Elephas maximus indicus: one gene and its partners. The protein of the gene in region 1 interacts with the protein of each later gene in a pairwise test. Links are inferred from orthologs where the notes say so. Each region holds a gene or a part of one and is shown in the gene's direction. Other genes may lie near its edges. The genes, in order: KIFC3, DEUP1, HSBP1 and MED4.

Region 1 (7,902 bases):
TGATTCATCAAAAACGTATGTGATTCCAGGCACTGCAGAGGCATTTCTGTGATCAAGTCAGGAATGGGCCCTGCCTCATGGTGTAGCTGGGAGAGGCTGTTCCAATGCAGTGTGGGGAAGGCTGCTGGGGGCCGAGTGATCAGGGAACAGTGGGAGCCTAGAGGAGCCCACCTGACCGGGCCTGGGAGGCTGAAGGAAGGTGCTCTCTAAGCTTGAAAGACGTGAAGCACTAGCAGGAATTGGCCAAGTAAAGGTTGGGCAGTGGGGTGAAGGAGAGAGGCCTTCTGGGCAGGGGGAACAGCATCTGCAAAGGCCTGGAGGTAATCTACTCAGTCCTATAGCGTCACTATGAGTTGGAATCCATTCTAAGGCTTTAACGGTAGGTAATCAAAAGTCCCTGGGTGGCACAATCCTCTTGCACCCGGCTACTAACCGAAAGGTTGGTGGTTTGGACCCACCCATGAAAGAAAGGCCTCGTGATCTGCTTCTATAAAGATAAAAGCCAAAAAAACAAACCCATTGCTGTCGAGCCAATTCCAACTCTTAGCGACCCTATGGGACAGAGTAGAACTGCCTCATAGGGTTTCCAAGGAACAGCTGGTGGGTTCAAACTGCCAACCTTTTGGTTAGCAGCCATAGCTCTTAACCACTGCACCACCATGGCTCCTCTGTAAAGGTAGTAGCCAAGGAAACCCTATAGAGTAGTTCTGCTCTGTAACACATAGGGTCACCATGAGTCAGAATTGACTTGACAGCAATGGGTTTGGAGGTCATCGAATCTCAAGTTCAATCATTAAAACTGGAAAATCATGTAAATCTGTGCTTTACTCTGGGTTATTCTGGGTTACTATGACAATCAGATCAAACACAAACTGGCTTTTCATTTCTTTCTCTTGGCTTCCCTCTGGGAAGAAGTACCCATGGCCCGCCCCTTGGCTACCTCTGACAGATGACCCTCCCTGAGTGTTAAGGAGACTCAAGCCCTTTGAACAAAAAGATGGCACTGCTGACCCATGTGTAGGGGTCAAGGTGGACATGGGTATGGAGTGTTCTTGCCACTACCCTTTTGTCTGGCCCTCCCCGAGACAGGTATGCCTCTGTCCAACTGTGGGCAGGGAGGGCCAAGGCCAGGGGCAGAAGCCAAGCGTGTTGTTCGTGGGTTCATGACTTCACATTGGGACGGACAAGTCTCTGTCAAATCCTTGGCCTCCTCTGTGCCTAGGGCAGATTTGGCAGCCTTTCAATCAAACCATCAATGAAATTCTAGGCTAGAAATGACCTTGGATTTGGTATGTAGTTCCTGGTGAGAGTGAACATTCTTTAAAAAAATTCCAACAATCATGAAACAATTTGTTTTTATATTTCAGGTCAAAGCTGTATTTGCTGGAGCCAGAACGTGCTTCCTCTAATGCCCCAGTTTTCTTTTTCCTTCACTGGTGCTCTGATCTTAGTAAACTCTTATAAGCCCGTTGCTATCGAGTTGATTCAGACTCTTGGTGACCCCATGTGTTACAGAGTAGAACTACTCCATGGGGTTTCCTTGGTTGTAATCTCTTTTTTTTTTCCTGTGCTTTAAGTGAAAATTTACAAATCAAGTCAGTCTCTCATATAAAAATTGCACACACCTTGCTATGTACTCCTAGTTGCTCTTCCTCCAATGAGACAGCGCACTCCCTCTCTCCACCCCATATTCCTGTGTCCATTCAGCCAGCTTCTGTCCCCTCTGCCCTCCCATCTCCCCTCCAGACAGGAGATGCCAACATAGTCTCATGTGTCTACTTGGGCCAAGAAGCTCACTCCTCACCAGTATCATTTTCTATCCCATAGTCCAGTCCAATCCCTGCCTGAAGAGTTGGCTTTGGGGATGGTTCCAGACTTGGACTAACAGAACATCTGGGGACCATGACCTCCGGGTCCTTCCAGTCTCAGGCAGACCATTAAGTCTGGTCTTTTATGAGAATTTGAGGCCTGCATCCTCCTGCTCTCCTGCTCCACCAGGGATTCTCTGTTGTGTTCCCTGTCAGAGCAGTCATTGGTTGTATCCTTGGCTGTAATATTTACAGAAGCGGATAGCCAAGGCTTTCTTTCGTGATGCCGTTGGGTGGGTTTAGCAAACCTCTGGTTAGTAGTCTTTTGTCTGTGTGTGTGCATGTGGATACCCTACCTGGGTTCCTGTCTCAGCTCTGTCACACACCGGCTTTGTGAATTAACCTTTCTGAGGCTCAGTTTCCTCTCCTGCAAAACCGGGATATGATGGTGCCCACCTTATAGGGTGTTCAGGGTTAAATGAGATCTTGTTTATAAAGAGCTTAGTGCAGTGCCTGGCACAGTGTTAGCTTTGAATAAATGGTAGCTATTATGTGCATAGAGAAAAAAAAGACTACTAAAATGTTGGCAGCCTTTATCTCTAGTGGGTGGGATTACGGCTACAATGAACATCTATTACTCTTGTAATCAGAGAGAAAGAACAATAAATGTTATTATTAATTTAAAATTCTGGCTTTGGCTTTGTTGGAAGGAACCTGCAGTTAATGTCAACGTGCCAACCCGAAAGTAAGATAAGACCTCCGGTTTTATACCAAGACTTTAAGGACAGCCCCTGCCTACCACCACCAATCAAATAGCCCACCCACTGCCCTCGAGTCAAATAATAGACTATTATAATAGAGGGAGGAGCCCTAGTGGCTCAGTGGTTAAAGTGCTAAGCTGCTATCCAAAAGATTGGCAGTTGGAACCCACCAGCAGGAGAAAGATGCAGCAATCTGCTTCCCTAAAAATTTACAGTCCAGGAAACCCTATGGGGCAGTTCTGCTCTGCCCTACAGGGTCACTGTGAGTCAGAATTGATTTGACAGCAATGGGTTTATACTAGAGGGAGATACTTGCCCAGAAATCTAGAGAGATTTCAACCTCATCTAACCTTGCAGTCCCCCCTGACCACTGCTGTCTGTGGGGGCAGACAGGGGATACTCTCAAAATAAAGCCTCCCCCATTGGGAAGGTTCTCCTCAGCTCTTAGTTGGAAATGTCTAACTCTCCAGAGAGCACCCCAGGAGAATGACATCTATCCTCTACTGGGCCTTTGCTTGGGCATCTCATTTAGAAAATAAAACACACGCTAGCCCACCTCCAACAGTGGGGAGAGGGGCTGTGAGTGGCCTCATCTGGCAGCCACTGAGACAGGTGGCTGAGGCTCAGGCCTTCAGTCTGCTCTGATCAAGCTTCCTGACCTTTAGCCTGTGGCCCTGGTAGCAGCAGGAGACTGGAACTGCCTGATCCCCTCCCGTCTCGCTCCTCCTGAGCCATCCTCTGCCAAGCAGGAAGGGGCAGAGTGCCCACCCTGCTCGGATTATCTGTGGAACCATCGGTCTGCGCGCTGGGCTGGCTTCCGAGCTTTTCTTTCTCCTTCTTCCGCACCCTGAAGGGGGAATAGTGCTGTTGACTCTGGAATAAAATGCCGCCTCTGTTTGGGAGACAAAGAACAGAGTAGCTCCTCCGGGTCAGCTGTCTCTCCTGGTCTGCCGGCCCCCTGGCCTCCCCCACGCCCTGTGAAGAGGCTGGAGCTAGGCCGGGAGCCTCTGCCTACTCCCAGGGCTGCTGCACTCTCAACATGTTTTCACTGGAGCTGAAAGGAATACTGTACCTTAAAAACCCCAAATGCTTCCCTGTTCTGGAAGATGTTAATTTGCTGGGGCGTGGGGATGGGGGTTTGCTGTGACTGGGAGGCAGCCTGGCCTACATGTGCATACTAGAGTGAGTGAGGGCATGTGTGTGAACGTATGTGTGAGAACGTGTGAAAGTGCATTGTGTGAGGTGACTACAGTGTGTGAGAGTTTGTATGAGAGTATGTGTTGTCGTCGAGTCAATGCCTACTCATGGTGACCCCATGTGTGCAGAGGAGAACTGTTCCATAGGGTTTTCAAAGCTAGGACCTTTTGGAAGCAAATGGCCAGGCCTGTCTTCCTAGGTGCCTCTGGGTGGGTTCAAACCACCAACCTTTCTGCTTAGTTAACTACTTGCACCACTAGGGACTTCTCAAAGTATGTGTACTAGGGTTTAAAAGAATGTGTGTACTAGTACTCAATAGAGCGTGTGAGAACATTTGTGGGAAACCACGTCAGAGAGCACGTGTGAAAGTGCTGTGCTTGTATGTGGTGAGTGCGTGTGTGAGAACATGTGGTAGTGTGTGCATGTACTAACTAGAGGGTGTACGAGAATGTGAAGAACGGGTGTACTGGCTTGTTAGGCAAAGCATGTGAGATGTGACAGTGCGCGTAAGCGCTAACTAGAGTGTGTGAAAGTTGTGTATTACGGTGTGAGGGTGTGAGTGCTAGTGTGGAAGCCTGTGTGCAAACGCATGCGTGAATTAACTAAACCCGTTGCCGTCGAGTCCGTTCATAGGGTTTCCAAGAAGCAGCCGGTGAATTCGAACTGCTGACCTTTTGGTTATCAGCCAAGCTCTTAACCATTGCACCACCAGCCCTGGCAACCGTGTATTAACGAGTGGATGAATATGTGTGAGACCTACGAGACTTGTGTGAGTGTGTGTGAAAGCATTTGCAGTAGCGTGAGAGAACACGTGTATCAGAGTGTGTGAAAGACTCGGTGCGTGAAAGTGTGAGTTCTTGTGGAAATATGTGCGCACCAGCGTGTGCAGGGCGCAGAAGGCGGGAGAGACCGCGTGGACACGTCTGGGTGAAAGCTTGACGCCTCAGGGTGGGAGCCCCCGCGTGTGAGTGCACGGGGGCGCGCGCCCGGGCCAGCACGTGTGCGTGAGTGCGCGCGCCGCGCCCCCCGCCGGGGTCTAAGCCAGTTGCCATGGGAACGCGCCGCGGCCCGAGCTAATCATTTCCTGTGGAAAGTGTGCGGGAGGGGCGGGAGCGGGGCGGAGCAGGGCGGGCCGAGGAGGAGGTGGCGGCGGCGTGGAGCTGCCTCCAGCCGGCTGGCCGGGCCGGGCCGAGCCCCCGGCGCTGCGGCGACCCCGGGATCGTGCCTCCGTGAGGCGGGTAAGTCGGAGGCCCCGGCGGGCTGCGGGCGGGCTGGGCGCTTGGGCTCCACCCGGCCCGCCGTACGGGGCGCCGTGTCCGAGCCCTTCCTCACCGCCGGACCCCTGTGTCCGGGCCCGCTGGGGCGCGGGGGAAGGCCCGGCCCCGGCTTCGGCCCCGGAGACCCAGCCCTGTGCGGTCCGTTGGCACTGTCCAACCTGGGCCGAAGACCGTGCCCCGAGCTGGGCACGGGAGCGGCACGTCTTCTGGGATCAGAGCAGCTTCGGGACCCCCGTTCCGTTTCCATCGGCCTGGGAGAGCGCGGACCCTACCCCAGAAAGGCAGATGTTAATCAGCGCTGCTTCCTTCCTTTGAAGGCTGCAGTTTTGGGGCCTCCCACCACGTACCCTGAGCAATTCGCTTTCCAGCTGGCAGGGCCGGGGTGGGGTGGGCCAGCCCCCAGTTCAGGAAAGAGGACCTTGGCAGGTGCCCTGTTGGGCAGTGGGGAATCGGGCCGTTGCCAGCGGTAGGCTGGAGGTCCCAGCAGCCACCCCCTTAAGCCCCTCATAGCGAGTTAGAGCCGAACTTAGGCCTGGTCCTGGGAGATTGTAAAGAGGAAGCTGTATTTAATTTCTCAAGTGCCCTTTGCCATCACCATGAGCACATCTGTCTCAAGGTTGAGGGTTGTGACCACCTCTGGCCCTTCCGGGTCCCTGGCTTTCCCTCTCCCTGAGGCTGGGGGAGCACCCATTCTTGCCCAGACTATGCCCCATGCCCTTGATAAAGTAGCTGTCTCCTTGGCCAGCAGAGTCATTTGCCAGGAATGCAGCCTCAGAATGGGGCCCTGTATTTGCAGTGATTGGACCTTAGGATGCAGGGTCATGAATTCCACTGTCCTTAAGGGCACAAGAGAGCAGAGAATTTTAAAATCTGGATTGTTGTGAAAAACGCAGATGTGTGGCTCTGTGCAGGGAAGATCCCAGCCCCTGTGCAGTCTCCCTGACCTTCTGCTTGTACTCCCAGGGGGACTGAGCCCTCCCCAGCAGCAGTCCCTGGGCAGTTGCAAAATCTGTCCTTTAATCATTGAAATGCCCCAGGTCTGGGAGAAGGAGGAAACCCTTGACCCTGCAGTTCTGCCACCTGGCCTAAACCCGGGAAGGTAGGTGTCCCCCTCCTCCAGCTGTCCCCTCTGCATTCATCCACCACAAGTGGGAGGTCACTGAAAAATAAAAATTTTAACTCTTTGTATACCGCCAGGCGCTCTTTGGAAACTCTTTGGGGCAGTTCTACTCAGTCCTGTAGGGTTACTATGAGCCGGAATCAACTCGACGGCACTGGGTTTTTTTTGCCAGTATTGCTCTGAACACTTTATATGTGTGTTGCCTAATCTTTACACCAACTGTAGAAGGTAGAGTTCTTCCCATTTTACAGATGGGGATAATGAGGCACAGAGAGGCAAAGTGGCTCTCCCAAGGTCACACATCTAGTAAGTGGCAGAGCCAGATTCTGAACCAGCTTTTGGTTATAACCACTCTTCCATGTAATCCCCCTCCCCATCCTGGGATGGCAGAGGCCCCAGATGCCAGGTGGGTTATGGAAGGCCCATGCAAGTAAGGGGAGAGGGTGCGTCTTTCTGGGCCCAGAACTGTGGCCTTATTTGAGATTCCTTATTACTCTTGACTCCCCACCCTCCTCCAGCTGCTAAATTCAGCTGCTTTTTCCTCTTTGAGATCTTGTACACACCCTCTCTCTTCCTGACATCTTCCTGGCTACCTCCCTGACTTCCCTTCCTGAAAGCCACAGAAATAATGTCTTCTGCCCCTGCCCCTTAGATCTAGCTGATTTCCTTATATGTCTTCTCCTTCTACCATGCAGTTGACCAGCAGTGCCCTGTACCGCCTCACCTTGTAGTGGCTTGGCTCACAGGTAGAGCCAGCCTCTCTCCCTCCTTGCTCGTTGGGCAGCTCGTCCGCAGGGTTGGTTGTTTGCCTGTGCCAAGCAGCCTGGAGAAGAGGACATTTGACTGCTCCCCTTGGTTTCTTTCCTTCCTAGGGGTAGATTATCTGATAGGCAAGGTAAGCATGGCGCTTGCCTTGCTTACCAGACCATCTATGGTAAACAATTTCACATTTTTTCACCACATTAAAGTTTCTTCTTCTAGATATGGCTGGCACCTGTCCCTCTCCCAGCCCCACACCACCTTCCTATAGAGTCAAAGCCTTTTTTCCAATTTATAATTCCTAATAGGGGCGGATGACCCAGTAAGCAAGGTAAGCACAAGCTTACTTGTGCTTACTAACCTGTAGTGAACAATTTCACATGGGTTTCAGCACATCTCAGCAACACTGGTCCATCTCGATTTCCTCAGTGGAGCCAGCCCACATATTTGGATTTGCCTCCACCCGTCCTGTGGCCCACATTCCTGCCCCATTGTGGTGACGCTGCACCCAGGAGCCTCCTCCTCCAAGTTTTTGTCCCCTCACCAGGAGACTGGCCTTCTAGGGCTCAACTACGCAAACATCAGACACTACGTCTTCGTGCCTCCCACCCTGCCTCTTACTGTCTTCCCCTCTCTGTGCTTCCATCATTCTTGTCCCTCTGTCTACCCAACATGCTCATATCTCTCCTGTTCCAAAAACCAAGTCCTCTCGATTCATCCTGTCCTTCCCCTGCTAGCCAGACCTCCCAAGAGGGGCAGGTAGCCACTTCCTCTAGCTCCCACCCCACTCCTGAGCCTTCCCAAGTCTGCCCCCTGCCCTGCTCCATCAACAAGCTCTCTTAAAGAGCACCCAGGGGCTCCCTGCCCGTCTCAGTTTCCTTCCAGTCTGGTTCACTGGGAACTGGCATCCTTTCCTTCCCATTCTCTCTCTGGTCAAGTCTGAGGACTCTACACCTGCCCACCTTCAGCCACCTCTGCAA
Region 2 (7,864 bases), on another chromosome or scaffold:
CCTCTCATCTCCCCTCCAAACAGGAACTGCCCACATGGTCTCATGTGTCTACTTGATCCAGGAAGCTCACTCCTCACCAGTATCGTTTTCTATCCCATAGTCCAGTCCAATCCCTTTCTGAAGTTGGCTTTGGGAATGGTTCCTGTCTTGGGCTAACAGAAAGTCTGGGGACCATGACCTCTGGGGTCCTTCTAGTCTCAGTCAGACCATTAGGTCTGGTCTTTTTATGAGAGTTCGAGGTCTACATCCCACTGCTCTCCTGCTCCCTCAAGGATTCTCTGTTGTATTCCCTGTCAGGGCAGTCATCGGTTTTAGCCAGGCACTATCTAGCTCTTCTGGTCTCAGGCTGATGTAGTCCCTGGTTTATGTGGCCCCTTCTGTCTCCAACTGACTTTTATTTGTTTATTTTGTTCCATGCCACTTGCCTGAATCTTTGGATTAGTTCCAGTAGCTTTCTTGTGCAGTCTCTGGGATTTTCTATGTATATGATCCTATCACCTGTGAATAGGGATAATTTTACCTCTTCCTCATCAATTTGTATATCCTTTATTTCCCTTTATTGCCTTATTGCTCTAGCTAGGACTTACAGTATAGTATTGAATACAAGTGGTGATAAAGAGCATCCATTCTTATTCCCTTTCTCAAGTGAAATGCTGTCAGTGTTTCTCCCTTGAGAATAATGTTGGCTGTTGGTCTTGTATATATTCCCTTAGTTATGTTGGGAAATTTCCCTTCTATTCCTATATTGTTGAGAGTTTTTATCATGAATGGGTGTTGGACTTTATCAAATGCCTTTTCTGCATCAATTGAGATAATCATGTGACTCCTATTCTTTGTTTTATTTATGTGGTGGATTGCGTTGACTGATTTTCCAAAGTTGAACCATCCTTACATATCAACCTTACTTGTTTTAACTTTTTTTAAATTGTGCTTTAGATTAATTAGTTTCTCATTTAAACAATATTACACATATTATTTTGTGACCTTGGTTACCAACCCTATGACATGTTAACACTCTCCCCTTCTCGACTTTGGGTTCCCCATTGCCAGCTTTTCTGTCCACTCCTGCCTTCTCGTCCTTGCCCTTGAGTTGGTGTGCCCAGTTAGTCTCATTTTATTTTATGGGTCTGTCTAATCTTTAGCTAAAGGGTGAACCTCAGGAATGACTTCATTACTGAGCTATAACGGTGTCCAGGGGCCATACTCTCAGGGTTTCTCCAGTCTCTGTCAGACCAATAAGTCTGGTCTTCTTTTTTTTTTTTTTTTTGGTGAGTTAGAATTTTGTTCTACATTTTTCTCCAGCTCTGTCCAGGACTCTCTATTGTGATCCCTGTCAAAGCAGTCAAGCTCACTAGCCAGGCATCATCTAGTTTTGCTGGACGCAACCTGGAGGAAGCTATGGTAGCTGTGGTCCTTGGTTTTCTTCATTCTCCCCTGCTCCAAATGGAGTGGGACCAGTGGAGTGTCTTGGATGGCTGCTCACAAGCTTTTAAGACATCAAACGCTACTCACCAGAGTAGGATGTAGAACATTTTCTTTATAAACTATGTTATGCCAATTGAGCTAGATGTCCCCCGAGACCACAGTCCCCGGCCCTCAGACCAGTAATTTGGTCCCTCAGGGAGTTTGGATATGTCTATGAAGCATCAAAAACCTTGCCTTTGTCAAGTTGTGCTGGCTTCCCCAGTATTGTGTACTCTCTTACCCTTCACCAAAATTACCACTTATATATAGTTTATTTAGTGTTTTTCCCTTCCCCCCACCCCGCGATAACCATCAAAAAGTGTTTCTTTCTCTGTGTAAACCTTTTCATGAGTTTTTATAGTAGTGGTCTCGTATAATATTTGTCCTTTTGTGGTTGACTTATTTCACTCCAGATTCATCCATGTCATGAGATATTTCACAGATTCATCATTGTTCTTCATGTTGTATAGTATTCCGTTGTGTGTATGTACTAGAGTTTGTTTATCCATTCATCTATTGATGGGCACTTGGGTTGTTTCCACCTTTTTGGTATTGTGAATAATCCTGCAGTGAACATGGGTGTGCATATGTCTATTCATGTGACGGCTCTTATTTCTCTAGGCTATATTTTTAGGAGAGGGGTTGCTGAATCATATGGTATTTCTATTTCTAGCTTTTTAAGAAAGCACCGTATCATTTTCCAAAATGGTTGCAGCATTTTGCATTCCCATCAGCAGTGCATAAGAGTTCCAATTTCCCCGCAGCCTCTCCAACAATTGTTATTTTTTATTTTTTGGATTTGTGCCAGTAATGTTGGGGCGAAATGGTATCTCATTGTGGTTTTGATTTGCATTTATCTAATGGCTAGTGATCTTGAGCATTTCCTCATGTGTCTGTTAGCTGCCTGAATGTCTTCTTTGGTGGTTTGTTCAGATCCTTTACCCATTTTTTAACTGGATTAGGTGTCTTTTTGTTGTAGAGATGTTGGATTTTCCTAGAGATTTTAGAGATTAGACCGTTGTTGAATTTGTCGTAGCCAAATTTCTTTTCCCAATCTGTAGGTTCTCATTATACTCTTTTGGTGAAGTCTTTTGATGAGCATAAGTGTTTAATTTTTAGAAGATCCCAGTTATCTAGCTTACCTTCTGGTGTTTGTGTGTTCTTAGTTATGGTTTATGTCATGTATTAGGACCTCTAGAATTTGCCCTATTTTTCCTTCTATGATCTTTATAGTTTCGAGTTTTATACTTAGTTCTTTGATCCATTTTGAATTAGTTTTTTTGTGTGGTGAGAGGCATGAATCCTGTTTCATTTTTTGCAGATGGACACCCAGTTTGCCAGCACCATTTGTTAGAAAGACTGTCTTTTCCCCCATTTAATGGATGTTGGGCCTTTGTCAAAGATCAGGAGACTGTAGGTGGATGGGTTTTCATCTGGGTTCTCAGTTCTGTCCCATTGGTCAATGTGTCTGTCATTGTACCAGTACCAGGCTGTTTTGACTACCGTAGCTGTATAGTATGTTCTGAGGTCAGGTAGTGCAAGTCCTTCTACTTTATTCTTCTTCTTCAGTAGTGCTTTACTTATCCGGGGCCTCATCCATTTCCATATAAAGTTGATGATTAGTTTTTCCATCTTGTTAAAGAATACTGTTGGTATTTATGTCGAAATTACATTGTATTTGTAGATTGCTTTGTATAGAACTGACAGTTTTCACAGTCTACCTATCCAGGAGCATGGTATATTTTTCCATTTATGTAGGTCTCTTTTGGTTTCTTGCAGCATTTTGTAGTTTTCTTTGTATAGGTCTTTTATGTCCCTGCTTAGATTTATTCCTAAGTATTTTACTTTTTTAGGAGCTATTATAAATGGTATTGCTCTCCTGATTTCCTTTTCATAGTTCCTTTTATTGTCAAACTTATTTTTTAGACAGAGTTTGAAGAGCACTAGATTTGGAGTAAGGAGCCCTGGCGATACAGTGGTTAAGTGCTTGACTGCTAACTGAAAGGCTGGTGGTTCAAACTCGCCAGCCGCTCCATGGGAGAAGATGTAACAGTCTGTTTCCATAAAGATTACAGACTTGGAGACCCTATGCGATAGTTCTACTCTGTCCTATAGGGTTGCTATCAGTCAGAATCCACTCAACAGCGGTGGGTTTGATTTTGGTAGATTTGGTGTTATATGACCTGGGTTCGTATCTTAGCTGCACTTGAAGTAGATATATCATCTTGGACAAATCATTTATTCTTGCTAAGCCTTGGTTTCCTAATAACACCTGTTACATTTGCTTCATGAGTACTTTTGAGCACCTGAGGAAATAATGAATGTGAAAATACTGACCAATAGTAAAGAGCTACACAAGCACGAGTGACCTTGGGCATCCTGAAACTTCATTAACAGCCCTTGCCAAGTTCCATTTTTTCTTCCTCGGGTCAAGAAAAATACATCGATCCATTTAGTTTACAAAAGAATAAAAGAACATGACTAGGATTTTCAGAATAATGTTAAGATGAAATGATCACTCTCTTCATTCAATCATAACATATGTGCTATGAAACACTTATTTAAAACTAATAACCTGAGTTACTTTATACAGTTCATCTATGAGACTCAATTTGTTAAGAAGCAGCAAATGGTTTTATGAAATTGAAATGGAACCTGGATGGAGGAATGTGGGAGGATATTAAATTGATAACCATATTAAATAGCAAATTAATGTTAATGTTATGAAAGTAGAGTGCAAATAAAAGATTTTAAGGACTAGAAGTTAATCAGCTAGATGTATTAGAAAGGAAGTCTGTTCCTCAAATAGATACAAGAATATTTTTCAAACAGAAAATCCAAGCGCTTAAGTCTTCTTTAAGCCAAACAACAGTTTAGCTTAATTAGTAAAGAATGTCTGCCTTGAGTATTGTGCTCTTTTAAAGAACTATCTAAATGGATCGAATTGACAAAAACAACAGTAAAGGTTAGATAGGAAGCTTAGGGGGCAGTGAGTTTATGTTAATGGGGGAGGGACAATTTGGAAAAGGAGGGTGACAACAACCTGAAGAATGTAATCAATGTCATCGAATTGTACCTGTAGAAATTGTTAAATGCTGTTTATATTTTCAACAACAAAAAATAAATTATTTTAAAAAAATCTCTCAAAGTTAGCTTTGAGAGATAATGTTATAGCTACAGGCTATGACATTATTTCCTGTCATTTCCGCTGTGAAATGTGAAATCAAGACAGTGAGACAGCACTTGTATCATCACTCTTGGAATTTGGTGGAAAAGGAAAGAATCTGGAATCAGTCATCCTGGGTTCCACCCCAGGTCCCCCCACTTAGCAGTTACTTCCTTCTCCTTGAATGGGAGACAATACTATTTGCTTCGCCAACACGCAGAGTTGTTCTAAGGACCCAGTGGGAAAAAAAAAAGACAGGTACAAATGCTGCAGTTACCGCGACCAGAGTACTGTGGACTAAGCAACACAGTTAAGGAAATCCAGCCCTTCCGGGCTGAAAGACATTTTGGTGAAAAGAGAAAAAGCCAGCTCTGTTCACTCTGTCCTTGATCACGTTTCAGTTTGGGACAGGTGAGAGAACGGTCAGGGAAATTTAAGGAACTTGAGTGCGGAACCCCCAGCTGTTTACTCTTTGTTCCTTAGTTATTTCATTCTTTCTGAGCCCTTGTTTATTGCCGGTCCCTGCTTTAGGCACTGGAAGCCACAAAGAAAAAATGACTCAGAAGGTGCTCTCAGGGAGCTCTGCGTCTAGCGAGCTGACACTAGCCACACAGCAGCGGGGCAGCGAGGTCGCACTCGCCTGGGCTGAAGTTTCGCGCGGCCCGAGACGCCCCGCGGCCACCGCCTCCCGCCGATCCGCCCGCGCCTCCGCCGGGCACTCCCTGCCACCCTCACCCCCACCCCCACCCCGACGGCCGCGAGTTCGGGCCGCGTCCCCATGGCAACCAGGAGCCAAGCGGCGGACCGCGGTAAGCCGGGCGGGAGAGGCCGCAACGGCCTAGGCGGCCGCGCGGCGGGCGAGCCCGGACGGCGGGAGCGCGGCGGCGGGTGGCGAGGCCCTCGAGGCGGGGCGGGAGGGAGGCCCAGGCGTTCCTGCTCCCGGAGCCTCAGACCTCTCCGGCGGGCGCCGCGCAGCGCAGGTAACCCGGCCCCAGGCCTCCCCGGTCTCGCTTCGCGATCTGACCCTCGTCCCCCGGGTCAGGCGCGGGTGACCCTTGCCGGGGGGGGGACCCCAACAGGCCGGCTGCTCCGGGGAGACTGGGCCTGAGCTGTGCGCGGGTTGGGGCGGGGGTCGGGGTCAAGGCTGGGCAGCGCAGCGGGTGGTAGGACCGAGGGATATAAGAGCCGCCTTTGCAGAATCCAGAGCAGAGATTCTCCCTGAGTTAGAAGGCCTAGGTTCTGGTTGTGTGGCCATGGACAAGTCACTTAGTATGTCTGTGCCTCAGTTTCCCTGACATTAAACTGAGGGATTTGAGAGCCTACAAAATCATTCATCCCTTCATCCTGGTCAAGCTTTCCATTCACTGCCCCTACCCCTTGCCCCACCCCTCCACACACAATTCCAGGACTTCTCTTAATTTCCTTTGATTTGATAGTGGAATGAGCCCGAAGCCTTCTTCCTCATCCTACTACTTCGACTGCTGTTTGACTGACTTTTATTCAGTGATGCGGAGGAGTTGAAGTCCTTTTTCAATACTTTGTCCATTTATCCTCGTAGATTATTTTTCACTAAAACTTTGTTGCTGGGAAAAATCTTTTGCTTTAGGCAAGTACTGATATCTCTATTTTGTCAAGAGGATGTGCCAGTGCCCATGGAACCATTGAGGAATGGTAAGATTTATATTTTTAGGCAATTCTTAACCTTTTTTGTCCTAAATTTCGTAGTATATTCATTCTAGCAAAACTCAGAAAGGACTAAAGAAAGAATTTGCTCAAAGGTAAACCATTTAGGGGATCCACATGAAAGAAAAGTTTGTGAATATCCAACTGGAGCTCCTCTTGAGTAATGATTCTATTTTACTCATCCTCATGTACTGAGCATAGTACCTGGTGCTGAGCTATTGTTCAATAAATAGTGAATGAGCGCTCATTTCAGTCAGTACCACATATTTCAAGTTATTATTAATCAATATCATAGCTGCATGGGACACCCTGCCAAAAAAAGCCCAAATTTCAACATTTTGTAGAATCGTGAGCTACTCCGCTCAGAAAAACTAACCTCAAATGGTTTGCTGATAGCAAAATGTTCATATTTTGTGGGTTAATTAATGTAAGCGTTTTAGGACTCTAGATAATTTTTTCTCCTAACAGATTAAAAATCAAGAACCATAAACCAGATTCAGCAGCTTCTCAACATGGAGAACCAGGCCCAAAATACAATGGGGTAAGTGCTAAGAAACTTCTGTTTAATAAGCTGACACTTAACAATGCCAAAAACTCCCTGGTGATACATGAGTTTTAAAATTTAGCTTTAATAGCCTACCTACTATCCTACGGCCGTTGAGTAGATTCCGACTCATAGCGACCCTATAGGACAGGGTAGAACTGCCCCATAGAGTTTCCAAGGAGCACCTGGCGGATTCGAACTGCAGACCTTTTGGTTAGCAGCAGTAGGACTTAACCACTATGCCACCAGGGTTTCCAGCATTAATAGAAGGATGTGGAAATTACTTTTGGTGAGGGTGGGGGGAAATTTCAAGTGATTATAATTAAGAATCTATAGTGTGATCTGTGGATCTGCGCTTGAAAATCACAGCTTTCCAACTTTTAGCGACTTTGTCTGGTGTCTTGGGTGATGGGTGCCTACGCCCAGGGCACTGACACTGCTGGCCTCGTGCACTCTTCGGTTCTTACAGTGCAGCACCTCCTGGCCATTTTGCTCCCGTCTTGCTGCACCAGGTGTCCCACACTTCCCTCTACTCTTGCACTTAAGACTCAACTCAGCACTTCAACACAACCCCAAAATAGATCCAACTCCACAAAACAAGGATGGATATTAAACCAAAAATTTCATAGAGAGCTAAGGAGTAGAATTTGTATAGCATCCCCTATCATAGAAATTTAACCAAATTCCTTTTCGTAAATATCTGTCCCTACTTCCCTGCCACCAGCACCACGAAGTTTCCTCTTCATATTGTTTCATTAGCCAACTGGCCACTGGCTGATCCCAGAGCCAGGGGTGGAGGTGAGTGGGGATGTTACTGTAGTGACTGATCTTGACCGTGGCTGACTTCGCTCTAGTCAGCCACTTGAGGTGTCTCACTTTTAGCTCTTCTGTTCAGACCTGCTTTAACTTTTAGCTTTTCTACTCAGACCTGCTTTAACGTCTGGCTAAAGGAAAACTGCCCAAGTCTGGATAATAATAGCATCAATTTTTTACTCCTACTGCATATT
Region 3 (7,719 bases), about 25 Mb from region 1:
CCCAACAAGAAGGGCAGTGTGGCTGGGGCAAAGTTGGGGAGGGGATGGTGCGAGAGCAAGTCAGGGAAGTGGCAATGTCCTCAAGAGGGCTCATGAGCAGTATTTGTGTATTTCTACACAAATAACACGCACCTTCTACATTGGTTTGTCAGTGGCTCCCTCCGCCCGTGGGATATTTTCCTAAGCACCGCTATGCCAATTTTTTTTTTAACATGTTGCTGTAAAGAAATGTTGGCATAGTGGTGCTTACAAAAATACCTGGGTGGGGAGAGGGATGGAGGCTGGCAAACCAATGCAGAAGGTATGTACTATCTGCATGAAAACAGAGTAAGTATAACATGTTGAAATGCAACTTCCAACACCTGCCAGCTGCCAAGTGCACCAGTCTCCCTCCATGATCCTCTAGCCTGAAATCACAATGGAGGGGCTGCCCCTCCACCCATCTAAGCTCCGTAATCCCCAACCCCTCCTCATCAACCTTCCACGACCAATTATTCTTTCAACAACATGTAGGTGTGGAGGGTGAGAATTAAGGGGCCTTGACTGATCGGCTCTATTTACTCCACAATATAGAAAATAAGGTTATCCTGGGTTTGAAGAGGAAACCCTGGTGGCATAGCGGTTAAGTGCTATGGCTGCTAGCCAAGAGGTCGGCAGTTCAAATGCGCCAGGCGCTCCTTGGGAACTCTATGGGGCAGTTCTACTCTGTCATATAGGGTCGCTATGAGTTGCAATCGACTCGACGGCAGTGGGTTTGGTTTTTGGTTTTTTAGGGTTTGAAGAGACTGCAAAGGCTGAAATGACCACTGGAGGGCGAGAGCAGGGGGCCTGCCAGGCCACTTGGAAGGATAAGGCCCCACATCCTGAGCTGCTGTGACACCAGCTCACTCAGGTGTGGGATTCTCGGCAGCAGAAGCAGCAACCACAGCGACTCTGAGCCCATACAGGTGCAGCGACGGAAAGAACAGATTACAAGGTTTCTCTAAATCCCTTCTCTAATCGTGTCTTCTCTGCTTGTTGTTAGCTGCCATTGAGTTGGCTCCGTCTCATGGTGACCCCCCGCACAGGAGAACGAAATGCTGCCAAGTCCTGAGCCAACCCCATGATCGGCTGTGGATCAGACCACACAGCTCCATAGGGTCTTCACTGGCTGATTTTCAGAAGATCACCAGGCCTTTGTTCCTAGTCTGTTGTCGTCAGGAAGCTCCACTGACACCTGCTCAGCATCCTGGCGACACACAAGCTCCCACTGACAGACAGGTGGTGGCTGCACATGAGGTGCACTGACCAAGAATCGAACCCAGGTCGCCCACGTGGAAGGTGAGAATTCTACCACCGAGCCACCACCGCCGCCGCCATTCCTCATCTGCTTACGCAAAGCAAACAGACAAGCAAAAATCTCATTGCTGAGCAACTACACCTGTACAGGAACACCCCCTCAGCATATATCTGGAAAAAGAGAGCATTCCAGCTCAAAACAAGGAGCTATTATTAAAGCACCATATTAAGCCCATGTAAAACCAAACCCTCTTGAAAGGCGAAAAGAGAATTACAACATGCAATTAATCTAGAAAGAGCTAAAGAGTAAAAAAAAAAAAAAAAAAAAGTGCTAAGAGGAGCTAAGACAACTACGACACTTTAAATAAAGGTTAAAAATGAGGGTTGTTGAAAAGTGAAGTCTAAAAGGTTAATTACTAGTGCCTTACACATAATACACTAGTTTTCTTAATGGGACAATATTCAGTTTAGGTTCAGCGTGTCAGCCCCACAAAGTATATCAGCCATGACTATAAATTAGTGAAGCTTTCACACCAAGCAGCTGTTTAACAGACCTGTGGTCTCTGCCACACAGACTATACAGTCTTTCTATTGAAGTGAAAAACAAAGGAACAAAACAAAAACCTCCACTAAAAGAATGCCAAGTTTATTTGCTGTTTATGTAAAGAAAATTTCAAACAGGATAAAAAACCTCAAGTCTCCTGCCAGAGGGGGAAAAAATACTCCAGGTCCTGATGCAAATTTACGTCCTTCTGTTCCTCAAAGGCCATAAACCAGGGTGGCTCACAACTTCGGTGTCCAGGGTGCAGGTACCCAGACTTCCACGCTGAGGGTGGTAGCCCTGAATGATGGGGTCTAAAGTAAGAAGGGGGAGGTCCTACCTCCCCTTGGCTACTTGGTAGCTAAATGACTGGAGGTTTCTGAAAACTCTTTATAAAGTAACAAGCACAACACAGATGGAAGAAGGTGATGTTACTTCACCAGCCTTCAATCTCAGCATAGATGGAAGAACATTCTCAAGAAACGGCCGGAGCAAGAACAAATTCATGTTCGAAGAACAAGTACACAGAATTCGAGGCAGCGTCTACAGACCCTTTTAAGCCAGGGGTTCTCAATCGGAGGGAGTTTTGCCCCTGGGGGATGCTGCCAATGTCTGGAGGAATTTTTGGTTCTCACGCTAGAGGTGCTACTGGAATGTAGCAGATAGAGGCCAGCGATGCAGCTAAACATCCTAGAACACCCAGGACAGCCCCCATGACAGAGAATTTTCCAGCCCAAGTGTCAACAGTGCCACTGTTGAGAAACCCTGCTCGAAGCTCAGAAAACTCACGGAATTCTGGAATGATAGAAAAAGCAGAAGATGTAGAGTCAGAAAGTCCTGTGTTCAAGTGCTGCATCTACTGCTTCCTAATTGGATGACCTTGTTTACGTTTCTTAGCCCCTCTGGGACTGTGTTCTTAGAATTGTAAAATGATAATAATTATATTACAGGGGTGTTCTGAGGATTAAGCAAAAACACTGAGACAAAAGTATCCAGGTGAGCAGACTGAGTCCAGTACAACTAGATGGTGCCCAGCTACCACCACTGACTGCTCTGACAGGGATCACAATAGTGGGTCTAGGACAGAGCTGGAGAAAAAGGTAGAACAAAATTTTAACTCACAAAAAAAGACCAGACTTACTGGCCTGACAGAGACTGGAGAACCCACAAGAGTGGAGCCCCCAGACACCCTTTCGGATCAGTAATGAAGTCAATCCTGAGGTTCACCCTTCAGCAGAAGATTGGACAGGCCCATAAAACAAAATGAGACTAAAGGGGCACACCAGCCTAGGGGCAAGGACTAGAAGGCAGGAGGGGGCAGGAAAGCTGGTAATAGGGAACCCCAAGATTGAGCTTCTAATCTCAAGAAACACCAAAACCCACAGTCTCTTAGCCCCCTGACACTGTCCCCTCCTTTACCAAAGAAGCCTTCCCCAACAACACCAAGGAACATCACATTGCAAGAGAAGCCAGACACTGAAAGAGGCCCACTGTCTGATTTCACTTACATGAAATTCAAAGGCAAGACCAGTGTGCGATGTGAAAAGTCAGGGCTTGGTGACTTCTGCCGGGTAGGAGAGGGCCTAGTGGGCTGGCCATGTTTTTAAGCCGGAGGCACGTAGGATTTCTGCACTTTGCAGTAGGCATGTTAGACAGTACCTGAAAGTTAGAATCGCACCAGCCACCTGGCCCCGGGGCAGCGGAGACCCACCTGGGCCGGCATTGCCAGAGCTTGGCAGCCACTGGCATGGCGGACCGTTGGTTGCCTCTCTGCCCTGAGGGCCCCTCCAGGTACATAGGTCTACCTGGTGTGCACAGGTGCACCTGTGAAAGGGACAGTAGGCCAGCCCCTCTGCTGGACTCAGGTATGCCAGAGCGGTGACAGCGCGGGGACGCGCACAGCTGGGCTGATAGTCGCAGGGCCCGGGATGTTCGTCCAATCGACCCCAGGAAGCCAAAGCCGTCCCAACTACTGCGGGAAGACGGTCAGGGCATTCCCTATTTGCCAGGATCCGGTTTTGTTCCACTTTTTTCTGCCTGGGAAAAACAAAAAAAACCAAACCCAGTGCCGTGGAGTCGATTCCTACTCATAGCGACCCTATAGGGGAGAGGCCCAAAAGGAGATCAGAGGGGCGGGCGCCGGGGACGGGAAAGTTAAAGACGGGCGGGGAGAGGTGGCGGCAGAGCAACAGGGGCAGGGCAGTGCAGGGCCCGGACGGGCAAGGCAGGGGCGGGGTGGGAAATGGGGCAATGCAGGGGGGTAAGGCCAAAGGCGGAGGGCGAAGCCGAAGAGGCGGGGTGAGACAGGTTAGGGCGAGGAGGGGTGGGGCGAGGACGACCGTGGAGGGGGGGAGGTGAGCGGAGAAGGGCGGGGCCTCGCTTAGTACCATAAGGGCAAGAAACCCAAAACCAAACCCTTTGCTTTCCAGATTAGACTCATAGCGACCCTACAGGACAGGGTAGAAGTGCCCCAAAGGGTTTCCAAGGAGCGGCTGGTGGATTCGAACTGCTGACCTTTTGGTTAGCAGCTGAGCTCTTCACCACTGCGCCACCAGGGCTCCAGAAACGGAAGAAAAAACAACCAAACCCGTTGACGTAGAGTGGATTCCGACTCATAGCGACCCTATAGGAGGGAGTAGAACCATCCCGTATAGTTTCCAAGGAGCGCCAGGTGGATTCAGACTGCCGGCCTCCTGATTAGCAGCGGTAGCTCTTAACCACTAAGCCACCGGGGTATCTACAAAGGCGAGAGCTCGGGGCTTTTCCGTGGCGTTGACTTGAACTACAGCTCCCACAATACCCCGCGGTCTCGCGGTCTCTCTCTCTCTCTCTCGTCGCGAGAAGAAGCCGCTGGGGGCGTCTGCGCGGACAAACGGAAGTGTAGGTGACGGTCGGAGATATCACCGCCAAGCTGGGAAGCGGGGAGATGGCCGAGACCGACCCCAAGAACATGCAGGATCTCACCTCGGTGGTAAGGGGCGGCTGCGCGGGCCCGAGGACGCGCCATCTTCCGCGGGCGCCTCCCGGGGCCCGCGGCGGCGGCGGCGCGAGACGTTTCTGGAGGCTTCGCCGCCTCCGCGACCCGCCGGGGCCCTCGGTGTAGACCTCTCCCTGCCCCAGACCCCTCCTGGGTGTGTCTCCTCCTGCCCCTGAAGGCCCCTGATGACCCCCATGCTCCCGCCAACGTCCCATGCTCACCCCTCAGCTCTGGCGCACCCCCGAGATGTGTGCGTGATGCCTTCAAGTCGCCAAAAACAACCAAAAAACCCTGCCGTTTTTGAACCACAGCGGGCCCACCCTGAAAGGGGCTCCGCCGGCCTTCAGTCTGATTTAACAGATGAGAAAAAACTGAAGTCGGAGAAGGAAGTTTTTGACTAAAGGTCGCAGAGCCGCCAAGAGGCCGAGTTGGGGCTGGAGCCCGGGGTCCAGGTCTCACTCCTAGACCAGGTTTCTGTCTTGATCCCATGAAGGTGCCTCAGGATAAGGATGTTTTCTTCTCTTAGGTCCAGACACTGTTGCAACAGATGCAAGATAAATTTCAGACCATGTCCGACCAGATCATTGGAAGAAATATCCTTTTACTTCGTGTCAGCCTCTAATGGGCCTTGGATCCTACTTGCCAGGTAGTCGGTAGATGCCTAAGAAGCCCCGGTGGCGCAGTGATTAAACTCTGGTTGCTAACTGGGCTTCAAACCCACCATCTTCTCCACGGGGAAAGCTGTGGCAGTCCGCTTCCATAAGGATTACAGCCTTGGAAACCCGATGGGGCAGTTCTACTTTGCTCCATAGGGTCGCTGAGTTGGAATCCACTGGACAACTGGTTTTTTGTTGTTGTTTCGGTAGATAAAATGGGTGGTTTGCAGACCAGTTTCAGCCTGCCATTTACCAGATTACCTGGATGTCCTCTGTTCCCCAGAAGTGCTGTGCTAAGGGCTAGGAACACAGAGTTGAACTAGACAGAGCCCTGGCCACAGGGAACTTACAATCTTCCCATAATAATGGCTAATGTGATTGACTTCTGACTGTGAGCCAAACACTTCTTGTGTCTACTCCTTAGATCCTTATGAATAGGTGATGCTGTCACCATCTTTGTTTAGCAGATGAAGAAACTGAAGTTTAGTAAAGTGAAAAAGCTCGCCCAGGCTCCCATCACTGGCAAGGGGCAGGGTTAGGATTTGATCCTGGGCATCCTTGCCCCAGGTTCCTGTACTCTTCAGAATATCCAGAGGAAACTGGAAAACCAGTTTCATTAACACAATTGTGTTTAAGGCCATAGTACAGGACCTTGGAAAAAGGGGATAAGAAATGGGGAAGTGGAAATGCTGTTCATTGTCTTTAACTTGATCACTTGATGACATGAGTAGTCGCATTGATGATCTAGAGAAAAATATTGCAGACCTCATGACCCAGGCTGGGGTGGAAGAACTGGAAGGTGAAAACAAGATTCCTGCCACACAAAAGAGTTGAAGGTGAGGAAGGAGCTAATTATTTTTAAGAAGGAAAAAAGGAGAGTACAGAGAGGTACCTCTTAAGTATTATTTTGATGTAGATAAACTTCTCTAGATGAATTCCCAGCCATGGCCCCAGCGAGCATCCCTTTTATTCTCTCCCCCTGTGGACTTCATGTTTTGACATGGGTAATTTGGAAAATGCCCTGCTAGTTTTATAAACTTCTCTAGGTCTTTTCTGTGATTTGGCATTCAGATATCCCATAAAGCAAATTGAGAACATCCTTAAGAACTGCAGGATTGAAGACTTTGGAGAGACAGGGAAGATACAAAGCAGTGGGAATAGGAAATAGTCACAATTTTTTACAAAGTTCTAATTAAACCAGTTGTGTTTTTGCTAGAATATTGTACAAAGAAAACATGTTTTATTCACTAGAGAATTCTGAAAGGATTTTTAGTTGATAATTCTGTGTATCATTTTTATTTGTCCTCATATAATGAAAAACATCTTGATGGTGTTCCCTTTTTCAACAGGTTGCTAATAGTTTACAGTGAGGTCTGGAACACAATTTTTACAAGCCAAGAGAAGACCGAATGGCTTTTTGCACCTAACTACTACGTGTAGACAGGTTTTATATTATAAAGTGTGTGTTCTTACCGTAAATCATATAGTTAGTTTTCGGAGTGATTTTTCCTGTAGTTTCTTGAATTTTTTTTCTTGAATATGGTAAACTTCACATCTCGGACCTTGGTCTGTTGTGCTGTTATTAAACACTAAAACTCTGGCAGTTCCTACATAAAATTGTCAAAATTTTAGAGTGTTTTCATGAAGTCATTTTCTGTCATTCCTTTTGTAGTAGTTGCTATTTGATAAAAATTGCTCTGTGGCTTTTTTCTTAGACAAATGGTAAATCCTTCAGTTAAACTGAACTTTGTGAAGTAAAACATTAGTTGAGTTTGAGGTTCTTAATTCTCAGCACAAAGTGGCTGTTGAACTGACACCAAACAGCGTGCTGGCAATACTTTCCAAACAGCCAGAAACATGTAGAATTCGTTTATTCCGAAATACCTGGCACTCCTGTGTGGCCAAAACTCAGAATCGAACCACAGCTCTATTTCTATTATAAGTGCCTGAGATCAGATGCTGAAGTCCATGAAAAGTCACTATTGCCACTTTAGTATGTTTAAATATGGAAAGTAACGGAATAGCCTAACATAATGAGATGTCATTTGTTACAGTTTTGCATGAGATTCTTATACTTCAGTAGAACCCTATATTCACCTATAATAGTTATCATGAAATACCTGGCAGGATTTGAAAACCTGAATTATTCCATCCTTTCTTTGAACTATTAATTGGAAAAAAGAAATACAGATTACCTACAGAAAAGGGCAAGAGACCATATTAAGTCCAGTTGCTTGGCTAGAAAGTGATGAATGACTTTGTCGTAA
Region 4 (6,944 bases), on another chromosome or scaffold:
ATGAATTTCAAGTACCACTACGAATAACGTTTGTGTGTTTCTCCAGCCATATTCAGCTGCATTGGTACAGGTACTCAAAAGACAGAGCTGAATTTAGCCTGGTTTGTCACCTTGCTGGAGCCCTGGTGGCACACTGGTTAAGAGCTGTGGCTATTAACGAAAAGGTCGCCAGTTTGAATCCACCAGGCACTCCTTGGAAATCCTATGGGGCAGTTCTACTCTGTCCTATAGAGTCGCTATGAATCAGAATTGACTCAACGGCAACAGGCTTGGTTTTTTGGTTTGGTTGTCTTACCAAAGGATTGTTCAGCATCACACAAGCCACCACTAACAGACAGATGGTGGCTATGCATGAGGTACACTGGTCCAGGTCTCCCACACGGAAGGCGAGAATTCTACCATTGAACCACCAATGTCCCCCTGAGTTTCCGTTTAGGGTGATGAAAAACACTTGGAAATGTATAGTGGTGATGGTTACACAACATGGCAAATGTAATTAATGTCACTGAGTTGTAGTTAAAATGCTTAAAATGGCAAATGTTTTGTTTTATATATTTTAACACAATAAAATTTCAAAAAATCCAAACTTTGATAGTGCTTATATTTTAGACAGAGATTCCCAGTGCTTTTTCAGTACGTGAAGATGCCTCTTTCTTTTTAAAGAGAGTCCACATAACCAGTGATAAAGAGCATAGACTCTGGAGCCAGAATTCAGGTTCAAATCCCAGCTTTGCCACTTACCAGCTATATAACTTTGGGCAAGTCTCTTGCCCTTTCTGTCCCTCAGCTTCATTATCTGTAACAGGGATAATAACAGTACTTATAGGAATGTTCTGAAAATTAAATGAGTAATATTTTTAAAGTGCTTAGAAGAGTGCTGGCATGTTAAATTCCCTGGATGGTGCAAATGGTTAAGCGCTCAACCACCAGCCAAAAGGTTGGTAGTTCGAACCCACCCAGAGGCACCTTGGAAGACAGGCCTAGAAAGCAGCTCCTGAAAGGTCACAGCCCTGAAAACCCTATGGAGCAGTTCTACTCTGCACACTTGGGGTCACAATGAGCTGAAATCCACTCAATGGCAGCTAACAACAAGGTGGTACTTGTCTTTTTTGAATCCATGCATTGAGAAAATACTTAACATTAAAAAAAAAAAAAGATTTTTTTCTTTTTTTACCATGAATTCAGTAAGATTTATTAAAATCCTTTGTATTTTTTGTATCACACCTGGAACTGTATAATTTGGCAAAAAAAAAAAAACTGTAGGAAATATGACTTGTTAGTCATAAAGAATGCTTAATGTGAATCTCAGTTATCTAGCACTGCTATAACAGAAATACCACAAGTGAGTTAACAAACAGAAATTTATTGTCTCACAGTTTAGGAGGCTGGAAGTTCAAATTTAGGGCAATACGGAAGACTCTCTGTCAGTTGGCTCTGGTGGAAGATCCTTGTTCCTTGGTGATCTTCATGAAAGGTGGCATCCATCTTCCCCCAGCTCTTCTTCTTAATCTCCTTTTGCAGTAAAACCTGCGAAAGTTGGAAGCTGTGCAAGGTGTAAACCTGTCAGAAAAGGAAAACTCAAATATTTCCCACTAATAGAGAACAATAGAAAAGTGGTAAGACTGCAGCCAGTTGAAGTGGGAAAACTTTCGAGACCTGGAAAAACAAGGCAATCCCAGCAAGTTTCAGCTCTCACATGTGGATGCCTCAAAAGAGATTGACTCAAGACATACCCTACGCTAATATTGCCTCATTAACATAACAAAATCCATTCCCAAATAGGATTATAACCATATGTATAGGAGTTAGGATTTTACAACATATATTTTTAGGGGGCACAATTCAATCCATAACAACATGCAAATGAATTTGCAATAAACCCAAGCAGCTTTGGAGTTCACAATACATGTATACTCTCCAGGCACTGACCCTCAATGTCTGGAAAACCCTTTGTGGTAGAGTCGATTCTCACTCATAGCAACCCTATAGGACAGAGTAGAACTGCCCCTAGAGTTTCCAAGGAGCAGTTGGTGGATTTGAATTGCTGACATTTTGGTTACCAGTTGAGCTCTTAACCACTGCACCACCAGGGCTCCCAATGTAAAGTGGGACTTATAACTGGTAACTGGTCATTTTTAACTGATTGGAATTTTCCCAGAATTTTTATGTGGGAGTTACACTAATATGATCCCCCTTTCCCGCCACTGGAATCATATACCAAGATTGTCCTGTGAAAGTTAAGTAAACAACGCCCACACGTATTGCAGGTTTTTGGCACCCTGGAAACTTAACCCAAGAAATGATTGATTAGACTTTCTGGGAAGCATGCATAGAATGCAATTATGATCAAGAAAATGTAAATCTAATTTTTTCTGTTGCCTGAGAATTAACAGAAGGGGTTAGGCAGGAGCAGAAGTGGGGGATGGTCAGAAAACAAAAGGTGCCAGTGAGCCTCCTGCACCGTGTAGGGGAGAAGGCATCCTGACCTATGAACACATATATTCCAATCTCCTTAACACAAATATCCCTACACTGTGGCGATAAAGACCTGGTGATTTCAATCATTAAAAGCCAGCTGGTTCGGTGGTTGAATTCTCATGTTCCATGCAGGAGATCCAGGTTCCATTCCCAGCGAGCACAACTCCTGCACAGCCACCACCATTTGTCAGTGGGGGCTTTTGTTTTGTTGTGATGCTGAACAGGTTTTAGCAGAGCTGCCAGACTAAGACAAGCTAGGAAGAAAGGCCTGGCAATCTACTTCCAAAAAATCAGCCAATGAAAACCTTATGGATCACAATGGTCCAATATGCAACCGTTTATGGAGATGGTGCAGGGACAGGCGGCATTTCATTTCTTTGTGCATAAGGTCGCCATGAGTCCGGGGCTAAGTCCTTGGCAGCTAACAACGACCACATCTTCAATTGCTCTGTCTGATGCAAGTTGTTCAACAAGCAACATTCTTGTGATAATTGGCTTCCACGTAGGTTTGTCTATGGAGGAAAATATAGTCTGTGGCACTATTTTTTTCATCACAAGTAAATAAATCGGCGTTCTTGATTATTCAGCAGTTGCCAGTGAGTAAATGCATTTAGCATGAGTTCCTGGGGGAATCATCAACTCTGGAAGCCTGGGCAGAATCAGATTCAGCACCCTCAAAAGGACAGACCAAAGGACAAGTTGCTGGAATGAAGGGACCACAGGTACTGCTGCCTGACTCCCAGCTGATGTCCAGAGGTGACATCTCCGTCTCATCTTTTTGTAACCGCAGCACGACCAGGTACAAAACCTCACTCCCAATACTGTTGTAACTTTGAGTTTTCCCTGTAGGAAAAGCCCTCTTCTACATTGTCCTCCCCCAGGAAAGGTGGGCTACTTGAAACTTTGGCAGATGGGCAATGGTGCATTTTCGGCTTGGACCTCTGGTTCTGATTTGGAAAATGCGCCACCTCAATTCTTTATTTAAACTCTTCCCATTACCACTTTCATGCTATATTGATTAATTCAGCTCAACACCCATCTTGAGCATTAGGGAAAGCATTGTTTGGGGATGTATGGCTGTGAAAGGAGCTTACTACAGCCACCGTGAGAACCGGAAAAGGAGCGTTAGCATAGCGTTATGAGAACATAGACTAAAGGGAGGTTAATGCTGACTGAGGATAGATATTTCGCAAGATCTCACGAAGAAACTGACATAAGAGGCCATTATATAATTCCGACAAATGCTTAGATATCGTTTAGCAGAAGCCTCTCAGTGCAGCTTTGAAAAACAGAAGGCACAGGGTTTGGACCGGAGAAGCCCTGGCTGGTCCAGCAGATGGCGCCGGCGCCCTCAGTTCGCCTCCGGGCGCGCAGGGGGCGCTCTAGCCGACCACTTCCTCCGCCTTAACGACCCTTCCTTCCGCCTCCCGAGTACCGCTCTCACCGCTCCGGGGCGCAACTGCGCATGCGACGCCGGCTGGCGCCTGGGCGACATGGCTGCGTCTTCTGGTGCGGAGAAGGAGAAGGAGCGGCCGGGTGGCGGCTCGGGAGCAGCAGGTGGTAACAGCACAAGAGAGCGGCTGCTGTCTGCCCTGGAAGATCTGGAGGTCTTGTCGAGGTAATCCCGCCAGGCTGAGGGCCTGACTGGGGCTGGGCCGAGGCTCCATGACTGACTCGGGAGCTGCAATTGCGCTCATTCCCGGGACTCGGCGGCGAGGGCCGCGCTTGGGAGACTTCTGTGTGGACTCTAAAAGATAGTTCGCGAGTGTAGTGGACTTGAGGTCCGCAATCCTCTGAGACTCCGAGGCGGCATTTTTTTTCCCGCAAGAGGACATTTTAGTAATGACAGTGACCCCGGAACTCCAAGACTGTCAGAGCCTTAGCGGACCGTAGAAATCCCGTAGTCTGAGCCCCCTGGTTCACGGACCCTCTCAAACATTTATGTGACAACTGGGTGCCAGGCGCTCAGGAGATGGTACTGAAGGGGAAGCCAGATGCCGAGTTGGAGGAACCCTTTGTCAACAGGGAGAGACAGATATGTAAACGGTGACCATCGTGCGTAGCCTGTTTTCATCAGAGGTGTGCGCTGGGGCACCCCACCTTATGGACCAGGCGCCTGACCCAGCTGTAATGAGGACAGTGTCCTGGATGGAGAAAGGGCTGGTTGGGAAGAAAGTGTTCACTTATTAGGCGGCAGGTAGATGGAACAGCGTGGGTAAAGACCTGGAAACGTGAGCACGCACGATTTGTTGGTGGAATTGCAGGTTGTCGGGGATGGCTGGAGCGAAGCATGTGTGGCAAAGGTAGGAGGAGAACTGGGAGGTGAGACCGAATGTCGTTGTCCGTATTCTCCCTTAATGGTAGTTGAAGCCATCCTTCAGTGCGTCTCATACTCGTGGATGTTCAAGTTGTAATGTTTTACTCTCTAAAATGTTGCTCACATTTGCCCCCTCACCTGCACCCCACAGTCTTAACTATTTCTTACTCAGTCTGCCAACAGTTTTACTTGCCTTTATGCTTCCATACTTTATTCTTCTATGTTGCCCAAGAGCGGAGTCATCTTTCTAAAATAGGCATCTCATATCACTTCTCTGTTTAAAAATATTTGATAGGTTGGCATTGTCCAATGAGATAAAGTCCAAATTCCTTAGCTTAGTGTACAAGGCCGTTCCCCACCCCCTCTTGCATATCCTTCCCTCCAGCCTGTTGTACTCCCTGGTCTCAAAGCTGGCTTTACTTCCTCATCCTTGGTACCATTCCCATTCCACCTCCAGTTTGGTGCATCATTCATTCATCTTTTGGAATCGCCCTGAAACATCACCTTTTCTGTAGCCAGCATTCCTTGACGATTTTGTTAAATCTTATCTATTGTAATTTGAAATATACTTACCTACTGATAATCAACATTTTATCTTTGCTATAAATTTAGTCTTTGCCACAGCATTACTTACCAACTTACTAGGTCAGCGTGATATTAAGTGATGTAAGAAAAACCTAAAAACAGAGACACCAGAAGTTAAATAGCTTACATGTTTAATGAACTGCTTAGATTGTATTAGACTCAAATACTGCCGGATGACAAATAGAGCGTGTGGGAGTTTCAGCCAGGCAGCGGTCAGTGTGGTGAACAAGAAAATCAGAAGCACAAGGCGGCTGTATTATGTGTTGCCTCTGTGTGAATCATTACACAAAGCAACGCAAGTGCTATTTTCCTCTTTGTCTTTGATGGTTTCGTGATTTGTGGAGGAGAATTTGTCAGTTTCCCCATTAGCTGATCCTCTTGAATGAATACCCACATTATTTCCTAATGAAAAGACATTAGCAAGACAGAGTATTGGTAGTTTGATGTTCTCAGCTGAATCATTCATGTCTCTGCTGTGTATGATTTACTGTCTTTGGGACGGCTAATTGAAGTTTCATATAATTCATATTGAGCACTTACTTTTTGTAATGTACTAAACTCCAAATTAACATCCCATAAACACTTTTCTAAATAGGAGCGAATTTCATTTGAAAAATTTAGTGTGCTCAACCTAACCACATCTCTATGGAGATGTGCCTTTAGAATCACCGATCAGCCAAACTGAGTCTGTGAAATACCTTGAACAGGTAACCATGTTGTTCTGATACAAATCTGTGTTCAGTTAAATTTAGGACAACTAAAGATTAATTGGAAAATACCTGTGTTGCTCCTGTATGAGCCAATTCTTCCTTGAATTCTATCTAGATCTTTCTGCTTGAAATACTTCTTTGAGCTATTTCTTGGAGAATTCTCACCTGAAGGTTGAGTCTAATATTTGGTTGACTTCTAACAACTGTGCTGTGGCATCTTGATGGTGCTGTTGAGTGTGAAATTAATTGAGTTAAGGTATTCTTTATTGTCTGTTCATTTTGACCAACCGTATGGTATGGATGGTATTGATTAAGTTTTCTTTGCATACATTGTGAAGAAGTGACACCCCCTGTGGGAAGTAGTGGCTGCCACCTTTTGTTCTGAGTAGGCCTTGGTCATAGACCTTCAAATCTTTGCCTTAATCTCTCCAATAGACTACTACTTCTCACTCTTCTGCTGTGGAATCCAGTGAATTCTCCTCTGAGCCTTACTTGATGTAACATAGTTTATCTGTTTTGCTGAGTAACCCTAGTATATATTTCATATTCACCAGGGTGATGATCTTTGAGAATTTCTTCTGACATTGGACAACCCAATAGTCAATCTTGAGGTTTTACCTCTGCGTCACTTGCCAGCTGGGCTATGTATCTGAGATGTGTCTTCCTGATGCTGTCGGTACCTGTAGGCATACATATGCTTGGTATCCATGTACTTTTCATAATTAAGTTTAAATTTATCAGTTCTGTTAAATTTGAGACTAAATTGAAATTTTCTTGTGTCTCGATTTGACCAACTTATAGCCTTCCATATTTTTTTTTTCTTGACTACTGAGTATAATATTTACTTTTTGATG

What was found.
Region 2: the proteins of KIFC3 (region 1) and DEUP1 interact in binary tests that used the Homo sapiens proteins (3 or more experiments, as listed by UniProt). The two-hybrid records come from large-scale screens. The link is inferred for Elephas maximus indicus from reciprocal best matches to the Homo sapiens genes KIFC3 and DEUP1.
Region 3: the proteins of KIFC3 (region 1) and HSBP1 interact in binary tests that used the Homo sapiens proteins (3 or more experiments, as listed by UniProt). The two-hybrid records come from large-scale screens. The link is inferred for Elephas maximus indicus from reciprocal best matches to the Homo sapiens genes KIFC3 and HSBP1.
Region 4: the proteins of KIFC3 (region 1) and MED4 interact in binary tests that used the Homo sapiens proteins (3 or more experiments, as listed by UniProt). The two-hybrid records come from large-scale screens. The link is inferred for Elephas maximus indicus from reciprocal best matches to the Homo sapiens genes KIFC3 and MED4.

The regions. Positions count from the first base shown.
Region 1 is NC_064839.1:24,689,294-24,697,195, reverse strand, and holds the start of KIFC3 (kinesin-like protein KIFC3), read left to right. Parts: upstream 1-4,897; 5' UTR 4,898-5,004; intron 5,005-6,080; exon of another isoform or gene 6,081-6,142; intron 6,143-7,902. UniProt on the Homo sapiens protein: Minus-end microtubule-dependent motor protein. Involved in apically targeted transport. Required for zonula adherens maintenance.
Region 2 is NC_064825.1:27,651,976-27,659,839, reverse strand, and holds the start of DEUP1 (deuterosome assembly protein 1), read left to right. Parts: upstream 1-4,851; 5' UTR 4,852-5,041; intron 5,042-5,161; 5' UTR 5,162-5,439; intron 5,440-5,473; exon of another isoform or gene 5,474-5,610; intron 5,611-5,640; exon of another isoform or gene 5,641-6,301; intron 6,302-6,781; 5' UTR 6,782-6,825; coding exon 6,826-6,854; intron 6,855-7,864. UniProt on the Homo sapiens protein: Key structural component of the deuterosome, a structure that promotes de novo centriole amplification in multiciliated cells.
Region 3 is NC_064839.1:49,799,520-49,807,238, forward strand, and holds the start of HSBP1 (heat shock factor-binding protein 1), read left to right. Parts: upstream 1-4,708; 5' UTR 4,709-4,745; coding exon 4,746-4,790; intron 4,791-5,322; coding exon 5,323-5,389; intron 5,390-6,167; coding exon 6,168-6,286; 3' UTR 6,287-6,288; intron 6,289-6,801; 3' UTR 6,802-7,719. UniProt on the Homo sapiens protein: Negative regulator of the heat shock response. Negatively affects HSF1 DNA-binding activity. May have a role in the suppression of the activation of the stress response during the aging process.
Region 4 is NC_064832.1:30,888,151-30,895,094, forward strand, and holds the start of MED4 (mediator of RNA polymerase II transcription subunit 4), read left to right. Parts: upstream 1-3,942; 5' UTR 3,943-3,971; coding exon 3,972-4,096; intron 4,097-4,103; exon of another isoform or gene 4,104-4,752; coding exon of another isoform or gene 4,753-4,781; intron 4,782-6,944. UniProt on the Homo sapiens protein: Component of the Mediator complex, a coactivator involved in the regulated transcription of nearly all RNA polymerase II-dependent genes.